Arabidopsis thaliana: one gene and its partners. The protein of the gene in region 2 interacts with the protein of the main gene of each other region in a pairwise test. Each region holds a gene or a part of one and is shown on either strand. Other genes may lie near its edges.

Evidence for each region.
Region 1: the proteins of HDG11 (region 2) and RBCS3B interact in a two-hybrid assay, tested with the Arabidopsis thaliana proteins (one large-scale study listed by BioGRID).
Region 3: the proteins of HDG11 (region 2) and AT4G15700 interact in a two-hybrid assay, tested with the Arabidopsis thaliana proteins (one large-scale study listed by BioGRID).

Annotation. Positions count from the first base shown.
Region 1 is NC_003076.8:15,375,617-15,380,916, reverse strand, and holds RBCS3B (Ribulose bisphosphate carboxylase (small chain) family protein), read left to right. Parts: upstream 1-2,500; 5' UTR 2,501-2,610; coding exon 2,611-2,781; intron 2,782-2,871; coding exon 2,872-3,021; intron 3,022-3,176; coding exon 3,177-3,416; 3' UTR 3,417-3,929; downstream 3,930-5,300. Other genes in the region: AT5G38400 (uncharacterized protein), read right to left, coding at 4,616-5,071. UniProt on the Arabidopsis thaliana protein: RuBisCO catalyzes two reactions: the carboxylation of D-ribulose 1,5-bisphosphate, the primary event in carbon dioxide fixation, as well as the oxidative fragmentation of the pentose substrate.
Region 2 is NC_003070.9:27,576,961-27,584,825, reverse strand, and holds HDG11 (homeodomain GLABROUS 11), read left to right. Parts: upstream 1-2,140; 5' UTR 2,141-3,005; coding exon 3,006-3,151; intron 3,152-3,227; coding exon 3,228-3,345; intron 3,346-3,447; coding exon 3,448-3,636; intron 3,637-3,722; coding exon 3,723-4,205; intron 4,206-4,292; coding exon 4,293-4,394; intron 4,395-4,486; coding exon 4,487-4,687; intron 4,688-4,763; coding exon 4,764-4,944; intron 4,945-5,021; coding exon 5,022-5,281; intron 5,282-5,367; coding exon 5,368-5,457; intron 5,458-5,534; coding exon 5,535-5,933; 3' UTR 5,934-6,405; downstream 6,406-7,865. Other genes in the region: SUS6 (sucrose synthase 6), read left to right, coding at 1-293. UniProt on the Arabidopsis thaliana protein: Transcription factor which acts as a positive regulator of drought stress tolerance. Can transactivate CIPK3, NCED3 and ERECTA. Transactivates several cell-wall-loosening protein genes by directly binding to HD motifs in their promoters.
Region 3 is NC_003075.7:8,935,045-8,939,445, reverse strand, and holds AT4G15700 (Thioredoxin superfamily protein), read right to left. Parts: upstream 2,089-4,401; 5' UTR 1,902-2,088; coding exon 1,593-1,901; 3' UTR 1,322-1,592; downstream 1-1,321.

The DNA of each region.
Region 1 (5,300 bases), on a different chromosome or scaffold from region 2:
CTAATAAAAAAAGAAAAACTTGCTACATTGTTTTAAGAAATTTTGCACATGAAAGCAATCAATCAAACCTCGATATTTAGAGAAAAGTTTATGTAAGGGAGTGTAACCATTTTTCAGATGACATAGCCATTGGAGATTTGGAAAAGGTAGTATATACAGAAAATTCAAATGCATCTTTTAAAATTATAAACATAAAACATGTATTCCAAACCCCTAAGTGGGATATTAAGTCAAGAAATAGCATTACATAAAGCAAGGATCGACAAAGACTGAAATTTGTCAAGCATGAAGTTACTAAATTTTGGAAATTTTGTTTACGTTAAATTTGATCATTGGTTATGCATTAAAAGCTGAAACAGTTATTTAGAAGGAAAAGTAGTTAACGTTCCCAAAAAGTTCTAAATAAAACTAGATTCCAAATGATAATGAAAACGTCGCATCTACTATATGTTTGGTTTTAAGTTTTTGTTTTGACAAAAAATCATATGTTTTTGGATTCTTCTATGCAAACGAAATATAAAAAATTCATGATTCAAATACAAAATACATATAAAAATAATAATTCAAATTATCGAACATTTTTTCCATCTCCCGGATTTAATTCACACATTTTGGCTTCAATTAAAATCCAAGAAAAAGAAACAAAATGACTTATAAAAGACAGAAACTAGTAACTTAGATGGATGGGTTAAGACTTAAGAGTTAAGACTATCTCACTTTCGAAAAATGATTTATTTAGCTGAGGTGCGGAGTGGAGTGGACCTTGTGATCCTTTTCCCTACACGAAAGTTTTTTCGTGACCAGTTAATGTGTACTTTGTACACGTTTCTTCTCATATATATGATTGAAAAGGGGGCATTAATTTGTGAGCCTGAAGGTAGTAGTCGTGATCCATGAGTGCATGACCATAGTTTTATGTGACTTTAAGATGAGTTCTTGACTCCGTTCTACACCTTTGATTACATACTCAAGTTTGCATGGTGGAAATCAGCTTGAGGTGCCATATTTGTGCTTGAGGGGGCCGTAAGTGCAATGGCATGGTACTCCAAGGAGAACGGTTGCGTATGTGGGTTCCCCATTGTTATTGTGATGTGATCAGAGTCGCAAGATAATCGTGAGCTGATATTACTTGTTGATCTAGAGGCAGCGTGCATTACCTCATATAGAAGATACCATGGACTTTGGGAGGTTTTCTTGGAAATTCTTCCATGAGGGGTTTACCGCGCACTTGATACATGTAGATGATGGTTTTGCCGTTTCGTTTGTTCGCTCGGTCTCTTTGTCCCACAAACATATCTTGCATGATGTAGTTGTTGTTAGTATCGACTCAAATATTTACTCTCTCCAACCAGTAAGGTTTTGCTTTTATCCTAGCCACATAAAAATCAGAAATAAAAGTACTATTTGCTAAAAATGAAGTGAAAGTATTGAATTAACCGAAATCAATGTATTCAAATTTTGTCTCGCTTTTCTTTTGTCGACTAATATATTATCATTTGAAGATAATATATAACTTTTCCAACAAAAAGATTATCGACAATTTATTGTGGTAAATGATTTTCAGGATGTATCCAGAATCGACAGTCTACCAGTACTAGAATATATCTAATAGATAAATGGTTCTTCTTACACTATGCTCATTATGGATTCTTTAATTTACTCTTTCACAAAAGGGACGATGACGAAGGAGTCTCTCTACAGCACGTTAGAATTCTTTTGATAGGTTTACTTCCATTAGTCTGAAATGGAATCTTATTTATAAGTCTGCCTGAAAAATCTTAACAATTGATATTAATAAAACGGAAAGAGTAATGAATATTTTTAAGAGCATCTCGAATCTATCTCTATTTTTATTTATATACTCTATTTTTGTATTTATTTAACTCTAACTCATCTCTATTTTCATTTGTAAAATAGAAATTTCTAATTTTTTTTCTAAAGCAAAAAATAGAGATTTTTATTTTTTCTCTTATTTATTTTTTCTAACGAATTTTTGAGGAACCATTGAAGTTAAAATATAAATCTCTATTATATTTTTTCCTCTATATTCAGAAAGAAAATAATAGAAACAAATATTGGAGATGGTTAAAGCTTTTTTTTTTGTCCGGATAAATATCATACAATATATTTATGTAAATATCAAATTTAAATAATTTTGTTATAACTATTTTTTAATGCGACCTTATTTCCAAAGAAAGTGTTAAGCCAAATTAAATCATACATGGTAAATAAGAGGTCCAAAAGACCAAAAGCATTAAATTTAAGGTAATGCGTCTGGTTTCTTTTCTCCCAAACGAAAGGAGCCAAAAGCAACCGATCAAGTGGAGACCAGTAACCGCACATTCACTTCATTTCCCCCACAAGAGAAAAGATAAGATAATGGAGTTTTCTGCCACGTGGCCTTATCCTAGTGGTGCGTACCGATAAGGGTGTCAACACCTTTCCTTAATCCTGTGGCAGTAAACGACGTTATCATGAATCATGGACCCTTTGATCATGAGGGCTTTTCGCCTTTAGGGGGTTCTCATTATATAAAGATGACAACACCAGTAGGAAAACAAGTCAGTAAGTAAACGAGCAAAAGAAGAAGAGAAACAACAAGAAGTAGTAATGGCTTCCTCTATGCTCTCCTCCGCCGCTGTGGTTACATCCCCGGCTCAGGCCACCATGGTCGCTCCATTCACCGGCTTGAAGTCATCCGCTGCATTCCCGGTCACCCGCAAGACCAACAAGGACATCACTTCCATCGCAAGCAACGGGGGAAGAGTTAGCTGCATGAAGGTAATATCATCAATAAAAACTGTCTTTTGTCATGTGCAATAAAACAAAACATAGGATATATTAATTTGGAATTGGATTTGGGGATTATAGGTGTGGCCACCAATTGGAAAGAAGAAGTTTGAGACTCTATCTTACCTCCCTGACCTTAGTGACGTCGAATTGGCTAAGGAAGTTGACTACCTTCTCCGCAACAAGTGGATTCCTTGTGTTGAATTCGAGTTAGAGGTAATAAACACAAAAGTTTTCTTTTGTCTACTAATCATTATTATTTATTCGTTTTCATTGCTAGAAATATTAGCCTATAACCGGATTTTGTAGAACCGAAATAGACTATATCACCTTGTGCATATCCTCCAATATCAATTGTATTGAATGGTTTTCTTATGTGTTTATAGCACGGATTTGTGTACCGTGAGCACGGAAACACTCCCGGATACTACGATGGACGGTACTGGACAATGTGGAAGCTTCCATTGTTCGGATGCACCGACTCCGCTCAAGTGTTGAAGGAAGTTGAAGAATGCAAGAAGGAGTACCCGGGCGCCTTCATTAGGATCATCGGATTCGACAACACCCGTCAAGTCCAATGCATCAGTTTCATTGCCTACAAGCCCCCAAGCTTCACCGAAGCTTAATTTCTTTTCTAAAACATTCTTATGAATTATCTCTGCTCATTTCATTTCCTATTGTCTGTGTTCTTTTTCTCTTTATGAGACAATTTCTATCGGATTGTCAAATGTCTGATTTATGAATATGTAATTTATATATCCGTGCGTCTTGATTTTTTCCGATGGTTAACTAGTTTGAAAATTTCCGATGAGATAAGACAACATACAAAAAATCGAATAAATTGTGTAAATATAGATAATAGTGACATATGGATTTGTATTCATATTTGTCCATTGTTTTAAGAGGAAAAAAGTTACAAAATCTTATTTTCTTAATAATAAGTAAATTTACTTTATAAGGACTGTGAAGTGTGTAACATGTGTTTGTAGATCTCAGTCACACAGAGTTATTACCTTAAAGGAAAAGGATGGTCCACTTGAAAGGATGATAGACACATTTGTGGACGGTGCCAGTGCCATATACATAAGATAGGCTTGCGGATAAGAGTCCACTTTTAAATTTATGATTAAGACCCTTTTCTTAATGATCTCACATATCAATCTGAAACTTGTGTGTCAACATTGTCTTAATGACCTGAAATATCAATTTGAAACTTGTGTGTTCATTGACTTAATGAAACTACAAGAAATCATCAAATGTGTGAACGGAAAGTTCTTTGAAGTGTTTTTTATATAATTTGTGTAGACTTACATGCGTGTAGTTTAAACTTTAATATTAACTAAAATGTATTTAAATTAGGGTTTATCTCCTAAAATTGATTCTAAAATGGTTAACCCAATATAGGTAGTTTATGTGTTGGTAGATCTACCGAAAATCCAATTAGTTTGAATCTTGCGGAATAGAAAAAAACAAACTATAATCTTGATTTTTGGATCCCACCGTTGTGGATGCTCTAATAATGCAAGTCATGCATGTTTCACCAGCGTCTAAGTCTGTATATACGCTTTTGGATTTTGTTCGAAATATTGAAACACCAAATAAAACAAAAAAAAATACTGAAAATCTATTATGAGAAATCTCTGTATATAAACATAAACGAAAGTGAACCCTTTAAAGATATATTTTCGTTTCGGTCGATATACATACACTGATTTCTCAATATCTTCTTTTATCTTAAGAAATCCTATCAAGTATCAACTATCATCTATGTATATAGTTTCACCAACCCAAAATGATTTGTAACAAACACCTTAATCTTTAATATTTAGTTAAACCAACTCTTACCGCTCATCACCGCGTCATAACGCTGCCACCATCCCCACCCAAACGCAAACGCAAACCACGTCCATTCCTCTTCATATGTTAACATGTGCGGCCACTCCTCAACACATTTTGATGAGAGCATTTCCGCATTTTCCCTGATGTTCTGCACCGTGCCTTTCTCTTTCTCCTCCTTTTCCTTTTCGACAACAGTAACATTATTTTGATCATCTTGCGTATCTTCCTTCTTTCTCATCAAACTTATGATCATCAACGATTTCTTACGTTTAGGCGGCAGAGGTTTCATGCTCTCTTTGTAAACGTTCATCCGAGCTTTTGCCGTCATTCTCGCGTGTTTAGACTGTTCCCTTCGAGTTTCCTCTCCGTTGCTTGATCTATTTCTCTCTTTACCTTCATACACCGCGCTTACACGAGCTCTCTTCATAGAATCCACGTGCATTCACACATTTTTTACATCAACATGTTTTATAACTTGGAATAATATGGTCAGACTTAATATCTCCCATTTATAAAACGTGTATTGTTGTTATGGGTACAGGTATGAGTCTCCAACGGCTTTGATTGCTTTCTCTCTTTCTTTCTTTTTTAAGTCAAAAGAGCTCCAAAAACTATAATGGTAAGAGCAACGAATCGAACACAAAAAAGGGGAAACAATAAATTTGAGGAAA
Region 2 (7,865 bases):
AAAAGACGAAACAGAAAAGTAAAGATGGTCAAGAACAACATGATGTAAAGGTCGGAGAAAGAGAGGTAAGAGAAGGCTTGCTTGCAGCTGACGCATCAGAGAGAGTGAAGAAAGTTTTAGAATCTTCGGAAGAGAAACAGAAGCTAGAGAAGATGAAGATTGCGTATGGACAACAACATAGCCAAGGAGCTTCGCCGGTTCGAAACTTGTTTTGGTCAGTCGTTGTTTGTCTCTATATCTGCTACATTTTGAAGCAGAGGTTCTTTGGTGCTAACTCGGCTCAAGAGTATTAAAAAGTTTGACCTTGGATCGAGGAAAAGTGAAAAACTGTAAAATATGTAATGACTAATGAATGAAACTACCATCGATGTAAAATTAACTAATAAAATCAAATTGGTCAAGATTTTTTTTTTTTTTTAATTTGGCTTTGTGAATTAATATTGGCTTACCAAATTGTCCAACTGTATATAATTACACACGTGTATGTACTATGTGCATGTATTAATTATGAAAATTGGTTGAACATATATTTGAATTAATATCTTAAGATAATAAATAAAGTAATGAATCGGTCCATATGATAATTAAATTTAGGGATAGCTATATGGAGCAAACGAAGGCAGAGACTGTATGTGAATTGGTTCACTTTATTCAAGGTCCCAAAATAAATGTGGTAAGATGAGAAATTTATATCAAGGCTTTAAGGACTCTATTTAATTGCTTCTTCTTTTCAGACTGATGTCAATATTTTTTAGGAATAAAATAATGCACACATGAATGGTAAATTAAAGACCAAAGTTGATAATAATAAGAAACAATATAAATAACTTTTGTTCCTAAATGATTATCTCATCAATAACAAAGAATTGGTGAATGATACACAAATTCATTACACTATCTTTAGTTCATAAATAGTTTTATATTTACTTCGCATTATAGCATTCATAATCTCTAATGAAATCCATGATACGTTTCTATATCATCCAATAATGAAAACATAACACCAAATAGAAAATTTGCAAATCAGTTTAATTATGAGATTTCATATTTGTTTTAATAATCAGGTTAGTAGTATCATACAGTATGTTGTATCATATTTTCAGCTAACACTTAATGTCGTCGTTGTTGAGGAAACAAAATTAGAAATCGCATGCAATCCCTTTTGTCAACGAAAGTTTGTATAATAAATTCACATTGTTGTCAAGTTTTCAAGTTTCAACCATATTTCTTTCTTCCACAGGTTTCTAATTTCAATGTATAGTAAAAACAGTTTGACTTTTTTTGATATACACTTCGAAGTGAATAGAGTTAAGACCGCGTGAGTAGGAAACAGCCAACACATCGAGACGACCCAAAAATGCAAAAATACAACAACTAAAAATAAAAATAAAGCTATTTTGATTACAGTATTTAAACAGATATAAAAATAGCTAATTATATCATATTAAAGTTATGTTATTTAAACAGTCTTAAAAGGAATTGAATAACGTGCGATGTTCCTAAATATGAATGTATGATTAAATCAGGTAAAACATAGTACTAATAATCTTATATAGAAAAAATTATAAATTAGTGGAACGTTCCATGCATTCATTGTATTCAGTAAATAATCTTTACTATTGGCAATTTTGTCGAACTTATGACCCGCTCGCTTTAATAGAAGACTACAGTGCAGATAAGTTGTTTGTCCATGTGTAAACGTTTTAATAGTTTTAACCGTGGGTAAGAAATGTTTGTTTTATCACGAGTTAAAACAATAATTACTACTATTAAAATACAATAATTATTATTAAATATCCTTAAACTAGTAATGTTTTGAGAAAAGTAAATATCTATAAGAAAATCCATTTTAATTATAGATCTTTGTTCACTAAACAAAACAAGTGGTGTTTTAAGAAAAGTAAGAATCTAGTACAAAGTAATTAAAATTGCCTTTACACAGATTTTCTCATTTTTCATTTTGAAGAAATATTATGTATTATAGTAATAAATCTTTATTTGTTTTTAGTACATCTAAATTAGGCAAAAATTAGAGAAAGTACAATTAAATTATAACAGAGTAAGAAAACTTGGGAAATGAGAAAGAGAAATAAATAAAAAATCCAAAGAAGAAGAAGAAAATGAGATCAGCAAAATCCCCAATAAAAGTTAATTTTTGTCATTATACGAAGGTGAGAAAATCGCCGGAGAAAGTGGATAAAGTCCTCTCCTTTTTTTATCCAACCACCGTCAATTTAACCCTCTCCGGCAACATAAAAATCCACCGGAACTTAAAAAAGAGAGTTAGTTGTATAGAAAGAGAAACAAAAGAAGAAGGTTGGTTCGGTCCTCTCTCTCTCTCTTTCCCCGAGTATGGTGAGAGTACTAGTTAGCAGTAATGGAGAGAGCAAGAGACTTTAAAACCCTCTTTCTCTTTCTCTCTCTTTTCTATTTTTTCTTCTGTCAATTTAAAAACCCATCAGTTACGCCAATTTCTAAAGAGAGAGTTTTCTTTTAGCGAATCTGTAATGAATGTTGAAGAAGCAACAAAAGGGGTTTGGGAGCACTAATGGCGGCTTTAGCTTAGGTGAGAAAGTCTTTACAAGGAAGAGATCATATACTATCTCACTTTCTCTTTCTAGGGTGGCTCTGTAGAGAACTAAGAAGAGACATTATTACGGCTAAAATAAAAAACCTATCTCTTTTGGATTTGTAAAAATTCCTTTTTTTTTTCTTTTGTTTTCGTAATCAATTTCTTGCCTAAAGCGAAACCTTTTCACCTCCCGAAATCATCGCCTTTGCATCTTCTCTTTCAGATTCTCTTCCGTTTCGTTTTTTTTCTTTCTTTTAATCTCTCTTCCTCTTCTCTAAAATTTGAACCTTTTTTTTTTTTTGGTGTGTTGCTCTGTTGGGTTTGTGTTAATGGTGACAGTGGTGTAAATGGTCCATTAGTAGTTTGTGGTTGGGTGAAAAGTAAAGAGATTAAAGACTGTTTTACTGTCTTTTCGAAACATTAATTAAAAAAAATGAGTTTCGTCGTCGGCGTCGGCGGAAGTGGTAGTGGAAGCGGCGGAGACGGTGGTGGTAGTCATCATCACGACGGCTCTGAAACTGATAGGAAGAAGAAACGTTACCATCGTCACACCGCTCAACAGATTCAACGCCTTGAATCGTACTACTCTGCAATCCCTTCTCTTTTTTATCTTTTGGACTCTGTTTTCATTTTGTAATCGTTGAAACTTGGACAGGAGTTTCAAGGAGTGTCCTCATCCAGATGAGAAACAGAGGAACCAGCTTAGCAGAGAATTGGGTTTGGCTCCAAGACAAATCAAGTTCTGGTTTCAGAACAGAAGAACTCAGCTTAAGGTTTTGTGTCTCTGTCTCTCTCTCTCTCTTTTGAGTTTAAAATGTAATTCTGAACACGAAAAGAGAGGATTTTGATTTTCGTTGTGGTACTGTTTTGTGTAGGCTCAACATGAGAGAGCAGATAATAGTGCACTAAAGGCAGAGAATGATAAAATTCGTTGCGAAAACATTGCTATTAGAGAAGCTCTCAAGCATGCTATATGTCCTAACTGTGGAGGTCCTCCTGTTAGTGAAGATCCTTACTTTGATGAACAAAAGCTTCGGATTGAAAATGCACACCTTAGAGAAGAGGTTTGGTTTTGTTTTGCGAGTTTTTATTGATGTAAGATTGATTCAAAACATCATTTTGACTGTGAAAATTTGATCTTTTTGCATAGCTTGAAAGAATGTCTACCATTGCATCAAAGTACATGGGAAGACCGATATCGCAACTCTCTACGCTACATCCAATGCACATCTCACCGTTGGATTTGTCAATGACTAGTTTAACTGGTTGTGGACCTTTTGGTCATGGTCCTTCACTCGATTTTGATCTTCTTCCAGGAAGTTCTATGGCTGTTGGTCCTAATAATAATCTGCAATCTCAGCCTAACTTGGCTATATCAGACATGGATAAGCCTATTATGACCGGCATTGCTTTGACTGCAATGGAAGAATTGCTCAGGCTTCTTCAGACAAATGAACCTCTATGGACAAGAACAGATGGCTGCAGAGACATTCTCAATCTTGGTAGCTATGAGAATGTTTTCCCAAGATCAAGTAACCGAGGGAAGAACCAGAACTTTCGAGTCGAAGCATCAAGGTCTTCTGGTATTGTCTTCATGAATGCTATGGCACTTGTCGACATGTTCATGGATTGTGTAAGTAGCTGAGACATCCTCATCATCATGTTCTGTTTCACAATTGGTTGCAGCATTTCTTATAAAAATATTGTCTTCTTGTTGCAGGTCAAGTGGACAGAACTCTTTCCCTCTATCATTGCAGCTTCTAAAACACTTGCAGTGATTTCTTCAGGAATGGGAGGTACCCATGAGGGTGCATTGCATTTGGTAATATTTGATACTATACTTCTATTCTCCTTTTATTTTTGTTTCATTTTGACTTATATATAATAGTAACTTTGCTTGGCTTGGTTATGTAGTTGTATGAAGAAATGGAAGTGCTTTCGCCTTTAGTAGCAACACGCGAATTCTGCGAGCTACGCTATTGTCAACAGACTGAACAAGGAAGCTGGATAGTTGTAAACGTCTCATATGATCTTCCTCAGTTTGTTTCTCACTCTCAGTCCTATAGATTTCCATCTGGATGCTTGATTCAGGATATGCCCAATGGATATTCCAAGGTTAAACTTCTTTTTCCTCTGTCAACTAAATCATGTTTTCATGTTAGAATATCCCTAAACTGATGAATTGAAACAGGTTACTTGGGTTGAACATATTGAAACTGAAGAAAAAGAACTGGTTCATGAGCTATACAGAGAGATTATTCACAGAGGGATTGCTTTTGGGGCTGATCGTTGGGTTACCACTCTCCAGAGAATGTGTGAAAGATTTGCTTCTCTATCGGTACCAGCGTCTTCATCTCGTGATCTCGGTGGAGGTAAACATAATTTTCCATTGCGAACCTCAAAGTTTTAAACTCCATATAACTAACATTTGTTGAGCAACTTTTTGCAGTGATTCTATCACCGGAAGGGAAGAGAAGCATGATGAGACTTGCTCAGAGGATGATCAGCAACTACTGTTTAAGTGTCAGCAGATCCAACAACACACGCTCAACCGTTGTTTCGGAACTGAACGAAGTTGGAATCCGTGTGACTGCACATAAGAGCCCTGAACCAAACGGCACAGTCCTATGTGCAGCCACCACTTTCTGGCTTCCCAATTCTCCTCAAAATGTCTTCAATTTCCTCAAAGACGAAAGAACCCGTCCTCAGGTAACAACAACACAAGATTCAAAATCTTCATACGAAAGATTCATTTGATAATGTATATATTGTTTCCTTCTTGTTTGTGATACTAGTGGGATGTTCTTTCAAACGGAAACGCAGTGCAAGAAGTTGCTCACATCTCAAACGGATCACATCCTGGAAACTGCATATCGGTTCTACGTGTAAGCCTCTTTTACAACAGAGTGATACAAAAGTTTCCGCTTAATTCTCTTTTGACTCATTTGTTTTTGTGTATTAGGGATCCAATGCAACACATAGCAACAACATGCTTATTCTGCAAGAAAGCTCAACAGACTCATCAGGAGCATTTGTGGTCTACAGTCCAGTGGATTTAGCAGCATTGAACATCGCAATGAGCGGTGAAGATCCTTCTTATATTCCTCTCTTGTCCTCAGGTTTCACAATCTCACCAGATGGAAATGGCTCAAACTCTGAACAAGGAGGAGCCTCGACGAGCTCAGGACGGGCATCAGCTAGCGGTTCGTTGATAACGGTTGGGTTTCAGATAATGGTAAGCAATTTACCGACGGCAAAACTGAATATGGAGTCGGTGGAAACGGTTAATAACCTGATAGGAACAACTGTACATCAAATTAAAACCGCCTTGAGCGGTCCTACAGCTTCAACTACAGCTTGACACACACCATTAAAAGCTCTCTTCCCTCTTTCTTCTGGGTGTCTCTTTCTCTTCAATGATGGAACAGAGAAGGGAATTAACTCCTTCTTTTGCCTTCAATGCCAGAGAGAGAGAAGAGAAGCTCATTAACTCCAATTGTTCTGCTGCTTCTGTTGGTGCTGTTCTGTTCTTGGACAAACCTCATTAAACAACTTCTGTAAGAAAAGAAAAAAACAGCTGGATTCTTCTCTCTTCATTTTTTTTGGTTTTTTTTTTTTTTTTTTTTTGGTTGGTTATGAGTATTTTTTTAGGGTATTTTTATTGGGTTTTTATTACTAGAAGAAACTGGAAGTCAAGAACGCACCATGCAACTTTGACTTTGTTTGTATGGTTCGGGCATTGACTTCTATTGCAAAGTTTTTTTGAAAGCTTTAAACTTTGTTCATCTCTTCATTAATGGTCTGTTTATGTTTTAACTGGTTCTTAAATCTTCTTCTCCTTTGATCTAAATGTTGTTGTTATGGGTGGAGAGATAGAGAGAGAGGTTAGGTGATGGAAATCTGACAAGTTGATGACTTTTTTGAAAGTTAGAAGAGAGAAAGAAGAAACAACAAAGATTTGATAAATGCGATTTCTTTTGGTTGGTTCGCTTTAAAAGGAAATTGTGTTCGTACGGAGACCATAAAAACCCATCACTCTCTCGTTGGATCCAAATCTATTAATACACTTTTTTTTATATCAAAACTTATGGTGAAGATTCATGTCACGTCTCAAAATCTCCTTTGGACCCAAAACAAATATATCGAACGTGCGGTTTTTCTTTTGTTTATTAGATTAGAGATTTATCAAAATCAAAACTATTTTGCTTTCAAAAAGATTGGTTTCACACTTTCAAAAAGATTGGTTCCTTAAATCGAACGTACCGTTATTTTGTTAACAATAATAGTCTTGTGTAGGGTTGATCCGTATTATGAACTCGTAATTAATGATGTATCAACAGTAAAGTAAAGGTACTTTCTACCTAAATTAGGTCCATGCCATGGTGCCAATGAACTTCACGTTACTAGTCTAACTGTCTAAGGCTAAGCTAGCCATTTTTTTTGTCTATTAGTAATTTCAAAAAAAAAAAAAACAGGTGTTTCTGATATATTTATTTTGAAATATCGAAATTATTACGACTAGACCGTTAAATAGATTGATAGTGAAGCACTTAACTTAAAGGCGTCATGAATCATGATGAAAAAAAATCATAAATGATTTACAGAATTGTAAATTAAGTGGATAGATACTATAGTATATAAAAAAATGAATGGGACATATGAAATAAATTTGAGATAAGTTTCTTAGTGGTGTAATTTGTTGCAAAATTTAATGATTTTTTTCATTCTTCTAAACAATATGCAATTCTTATTCTTATCTTGTAGTTGTTTTAATAATTTGTGGGAGACAAATTGTCTCCTCTTTTTTTTTTTTGGATTGAAGAAATTAAATGATTATTGAAGTCATTATAAAATAAAAAAGAAGAGTATTGGGCTCAGTTAAAACGGGCTTAAATATAGGCCCATAAGTTATTCATAGTAAACCCAAACCCAATGGAGAAGAGTAAAAACCAAATCACTCCATCAGAATTCACAGCCAATCCTGTTGTTAGAGAACCATTACCAATTTCGATCGTCATCTTCGTCTCCTTCACTCCTAGAAAACGTTGGAACCCTAATCTTCTTAGAAATTTCAATCGAATCTGAAGAACTAGATTACGGGATTAAAGCGAGGTAGAATCGAAGACGATGGCAGGGAGAGAAGTTAAAGAATACACAAATCTGTCTGACCCTAAAGGTGAGACATTTGATTGAATATGGTTCATTGGTTAATTTCATTCTAGGGTTCTCGAGAATTCCTTTTTTGAGCTCTGTTTCTTTTTCTTTCTTTCGGGGCTCTTTTGTTGCAGATAAG
Region 3 (4,401 bases), on a different chromosome or scaffold from region 2:
AAAAGACAATTCAGTTATGTAAATCACATGTCTTTGGTCATCTAAGTCACCTTATAACTTGAGTGAAGGATTAAGGTTACATGAGATAAGACAAGGAATCGAGAACAAAAAGAAAAGACTTAACAAGAAAACCTGAGATGAGAAGTAACCAATTCTTGATTAACTTCCATATCTCATAAATGGGATACGTAATATCATGAAAACTTTTTATTTCATATGTATATACTATAAAGAAATAGAATTTCATATGTATGTCATGTCCCTTTGACATAGTTTTAGATATGCCATAAAAAGTTTCTAGCTCCTCTCATTCTTTAATTTGCGAAAACTCGAAATCGCAAGATATAATGCATCTCAAGAATTATAATATTCTTGTATGACCACTTGAGAGGGAAAGGAAAACTATGTGGTTCCGTTCTAGCCTTATCGTCATGAATGAAATCGAATCTTACAATGTTAAGAATCAAGAATCAAAGAGAGCTTTATCCTCAATTCCACGAAATTCTGAAATCTCAAGCTTGTGGCCAAGAAGATTGATTAGTGAAGCAGCCACGTGGGGCTCAACAAAATTTTAAAGCCATAGTTTTGCATTCCTTCCTTCCTAAAAGATTATTGGTGGCCCAATTTTGATCTCAAGAGCCGTTATTCTTATATCACAATACAAGGTTATCATCATTTGAACATTACGTGATTCACGTACCGACACATTATATGTATGTAAGATGCCTATTCGCATCAAGTTCCGCAACTGGCTCGTACTGTCCTATTATTGGAATATATGTAACAATGCAAAGATTTTCCTTATATGGCAGAATCCAATTCCTTACACACTTTGTTATTTTAATGGTTAGAAACGTCATTTTTTATCATGATGTTCAACAATGTTTCTGTAGATAGACAGTGAAGAATTTAATGATTGATTTACCTTAATTCTAAATTTCTTTAATTGATTATAGAGTTGTTCTAAGATCCATATCTCAAATTTACGCAATCTCCTGTATTTTTACACTTGTAAGTTGTAACTAGCTAATTCAGTTGACAATCACGCCTAACATTTATTAACAGTTGCATATCATTGTAAGAATTTCGTTTGAAAAGTTAAGGCTTGACATTACACACGATTCAGACTCGTCATCGCTTTTTAATTTGTGGCAGATACAAATACAATATTCTTAGCCTATAAAATATGCCTTCTTCAAATTTTTAAATTAATTATTATGTCTTGGCGCATGTTCTGCATAAATAGTTATATATTCTTTCTTTTTTCCTTTACACCATAAAAAATCATCTATATTCAGTGCACGTGTATTCATTTCTAGATGCATATATGTATACAAAATTATATAAATATGAATTGGGAAAAAGGAGAAATCCAAATGTTGCTGATTTTTATTATAAAATATAAATATCTCTTAGATGCATGTTTACAAAATAGGTAACCGCATAATCTATCTTTTGAAAACTTAGATAGATAGACATATATAGTAATAAACTCATACATACATTTTTGTATATGTTTTTTTTACCTTTTTTTGTTCACATTAATAAGTTTCTCAGAACCTAAGTCATTTGCAATTCCATTTATTTTGAAGTCAAAGCCATAAAGCTCCAGCGCGCTTAAGCATTGGAACAAGGGAGCGGTTGAGATGGAGACTCATGACTTGATTGGCTCCACCAACAAGCTGCCCTCCTATGAACACCACTGGCACTGTCGGGCTGCACCCGAGCTGAGCCAATGCATGCTCTATCTCCTTTCCTCTGCTAATCTCATCGAGTTCATAGATCGTCGGGTTCACGCCAAGGTCTAAGAAGAGAGTCTTGATTGTGTGAGACATGCAGCAAGAGTTCTTGCTAAAGATCACTACCGACTTCTCGGAGATCATCTTTTGTAGATTCTCCATTAGTAATATAACGTGATAGATATTTGAAAACTGTCTTGCAAAGGAGAAAAATAGGTGTGTTTGGTCAAAATGCTAGATTAGAGATGAATATGGGAAAACTAGATAACTTATAGAGAGATTATTGATATATTTGGGTGAAAATGAGAAGTGACTCTGTGTTTTTGTGTTTGATGGAGTGAAGTGGGTAAGGTCCTTTATATATAGCTTTCTAAAGTACGTAACCTTTCTTATTACGTTGCCTTTTTCTACGAGAATCAACTTTAGCACAAATATGAAATATCTCAAATTGTAAGTAAAGAAATAAAAGAACACAATTTTAAATGATGAAAATTAAGATAGTCGAAGTATTCCGAAAGAATCTGAGGATATTATCGGTTCACACGTCTTGACTCTTTGAGTCTTTTTCCCTCTTGCAGCTAAAGAATAAAACTATCAACTAATTTGGTAAAACGTACAGAAAACAAAATCTCTCTTTGATATATATGAGGAATAATTGATACGGACGAATAATGTCATGTTTCATTAGTACGGCCTTCATTGTGAAAACCACTGATAAAAAGCAGAAATGAGTTTTATCTCTGCTAAACTCGTTTGACTTATAAAATTTCAAAATTCCGAAATATGTTTTTAGTTTCAAATAAAGTTGAAAATTGCTAATAGTGTTTACTCCGGATTTCATTTTGGCTCATTTAGGCTTGTGATAATAATTTTTGGTTTTGAGAATGTTACTTTCAATCTAAATATGTCGTCAGGAATGCGTCAAAAATATCCAACACATTATCGACATATAAATGTCTTGACGCCTATATACGAAAAGATTTCATGTTATCGTGAAGTCGTCGTTAATTGAAATTATCGGATTTCGTGTACTATACTAATATAGTATTCAAAATTAATTGAAATATTTCTTACAGTATTTTTGAGTCTAATAAGAAATTATTAATAATATAGCAATTATTTTTTGTAACGGTTATGTGTACATGATATATGGAAAAATATTTCGATATCTAATATGCTTTCAATCATACTTTATAGTATTTCATAGTGTATGTGTTCTGCTGAAAATCGGGTAAAAATCATTGGATAGCTTGGACATAGTTTTAGATACGCCTTGGACATAGTTTTAGATACGCCAAAAAGAGTTGCAAGCTTCAGTGTTTGAGAAAACTCGAGAGAGTATGAGATAATATCTCAAGAATTGTTTTTTTATAACCACTTGAGAGAAAAAGGCAAACTTTGTGGTTCCGTTTTAGCCTTACCGTCATGCATGAAATCGAATCTTGCAATGTCAAAGAATAAAACAAAATTGAACTTTATTCCCTATTCGATGAATAAGATTGCTAGAAATTCAAGCTCGTGCCCAACAAGATGGATATGATAGTATGATAGTGAAGCAACCACGTATATATATATCCTAAAACCAAAAATATACAAAAAATGTAAAATATTAGTTTTTTTTTTGTTTTTCTCTTCAAAATAGTATTAATGGTGGCCCATTTCGATCTCAAGAGTCACTTATTGTTACATCACAATACAAGGTTATCATCATTTTCAGTGTACGTGATTCATGTACCGACACATACATTATGTAATATGCCAAATCACATCTTATTCTGCAACTTGCCCGTACCGTCCTAGAGCATGGAATATATGTAACAATGCAACGTGTTCCTCTTATGGTAGAATCCAATTCTTTACACACTTTGTTGTTTTAATGGTTAGTAGCGTCATTTTCTACCATGATGTTGAACAATAACGCCCACAACTTTCTTAAATGGATAGAGAAGAATTTAATATTTAGTTTACATCTATTCAAAATTTTCTTTAATTAAAGATAGATTGTTTAAAAAAAAAAAAGATAGACAGATGACACAGATCTGCTTCATTCATATGATCATATCACTAATTTACGAAAGCCGCAGGCCCGCAGCAAAAGTTTTACTTGTAACTAGTTAAATAAGTAAATAACATCAGATCCTAACATTTAAATCCTAAGATAAACTTTTTTTTTCTTGTAACAAACCCTTATTAGTGTAAGAATTTTTCTTTATAAAAAGTTAGATATCTTTCTAAGTCCATTATGTGAAATTACTCGTATGAACCAATTCCCATAATTAAGGCTTTACATTCTATTACCTATTAAAACAATAAAACCATATATAAGAAAGTATTTATATTTCTGCCTTTAGCTAAACTTAAATATGTATATGCTGGAAATCTCTTATTAGATAGTATTATTTTCTATAATTGATATATATGATTTTCAACGAACCATCAATTAACAGGTTAAACATCTGGTTATTCGAACTATTATGTTTAGTAGTAAGTTGTCTCTGAATATATATTTGTACGAAGGAATCGATTAAACACCATAAGAACGATCTGAATAATTGCGATTAAATTAGACAGAAGCTTTATTTACAATAACACGATTAATAATGGAAACAAGAAAAATAAATAATGATAAGATATGTTCTTTCTCTTTACACCATGAAATAAA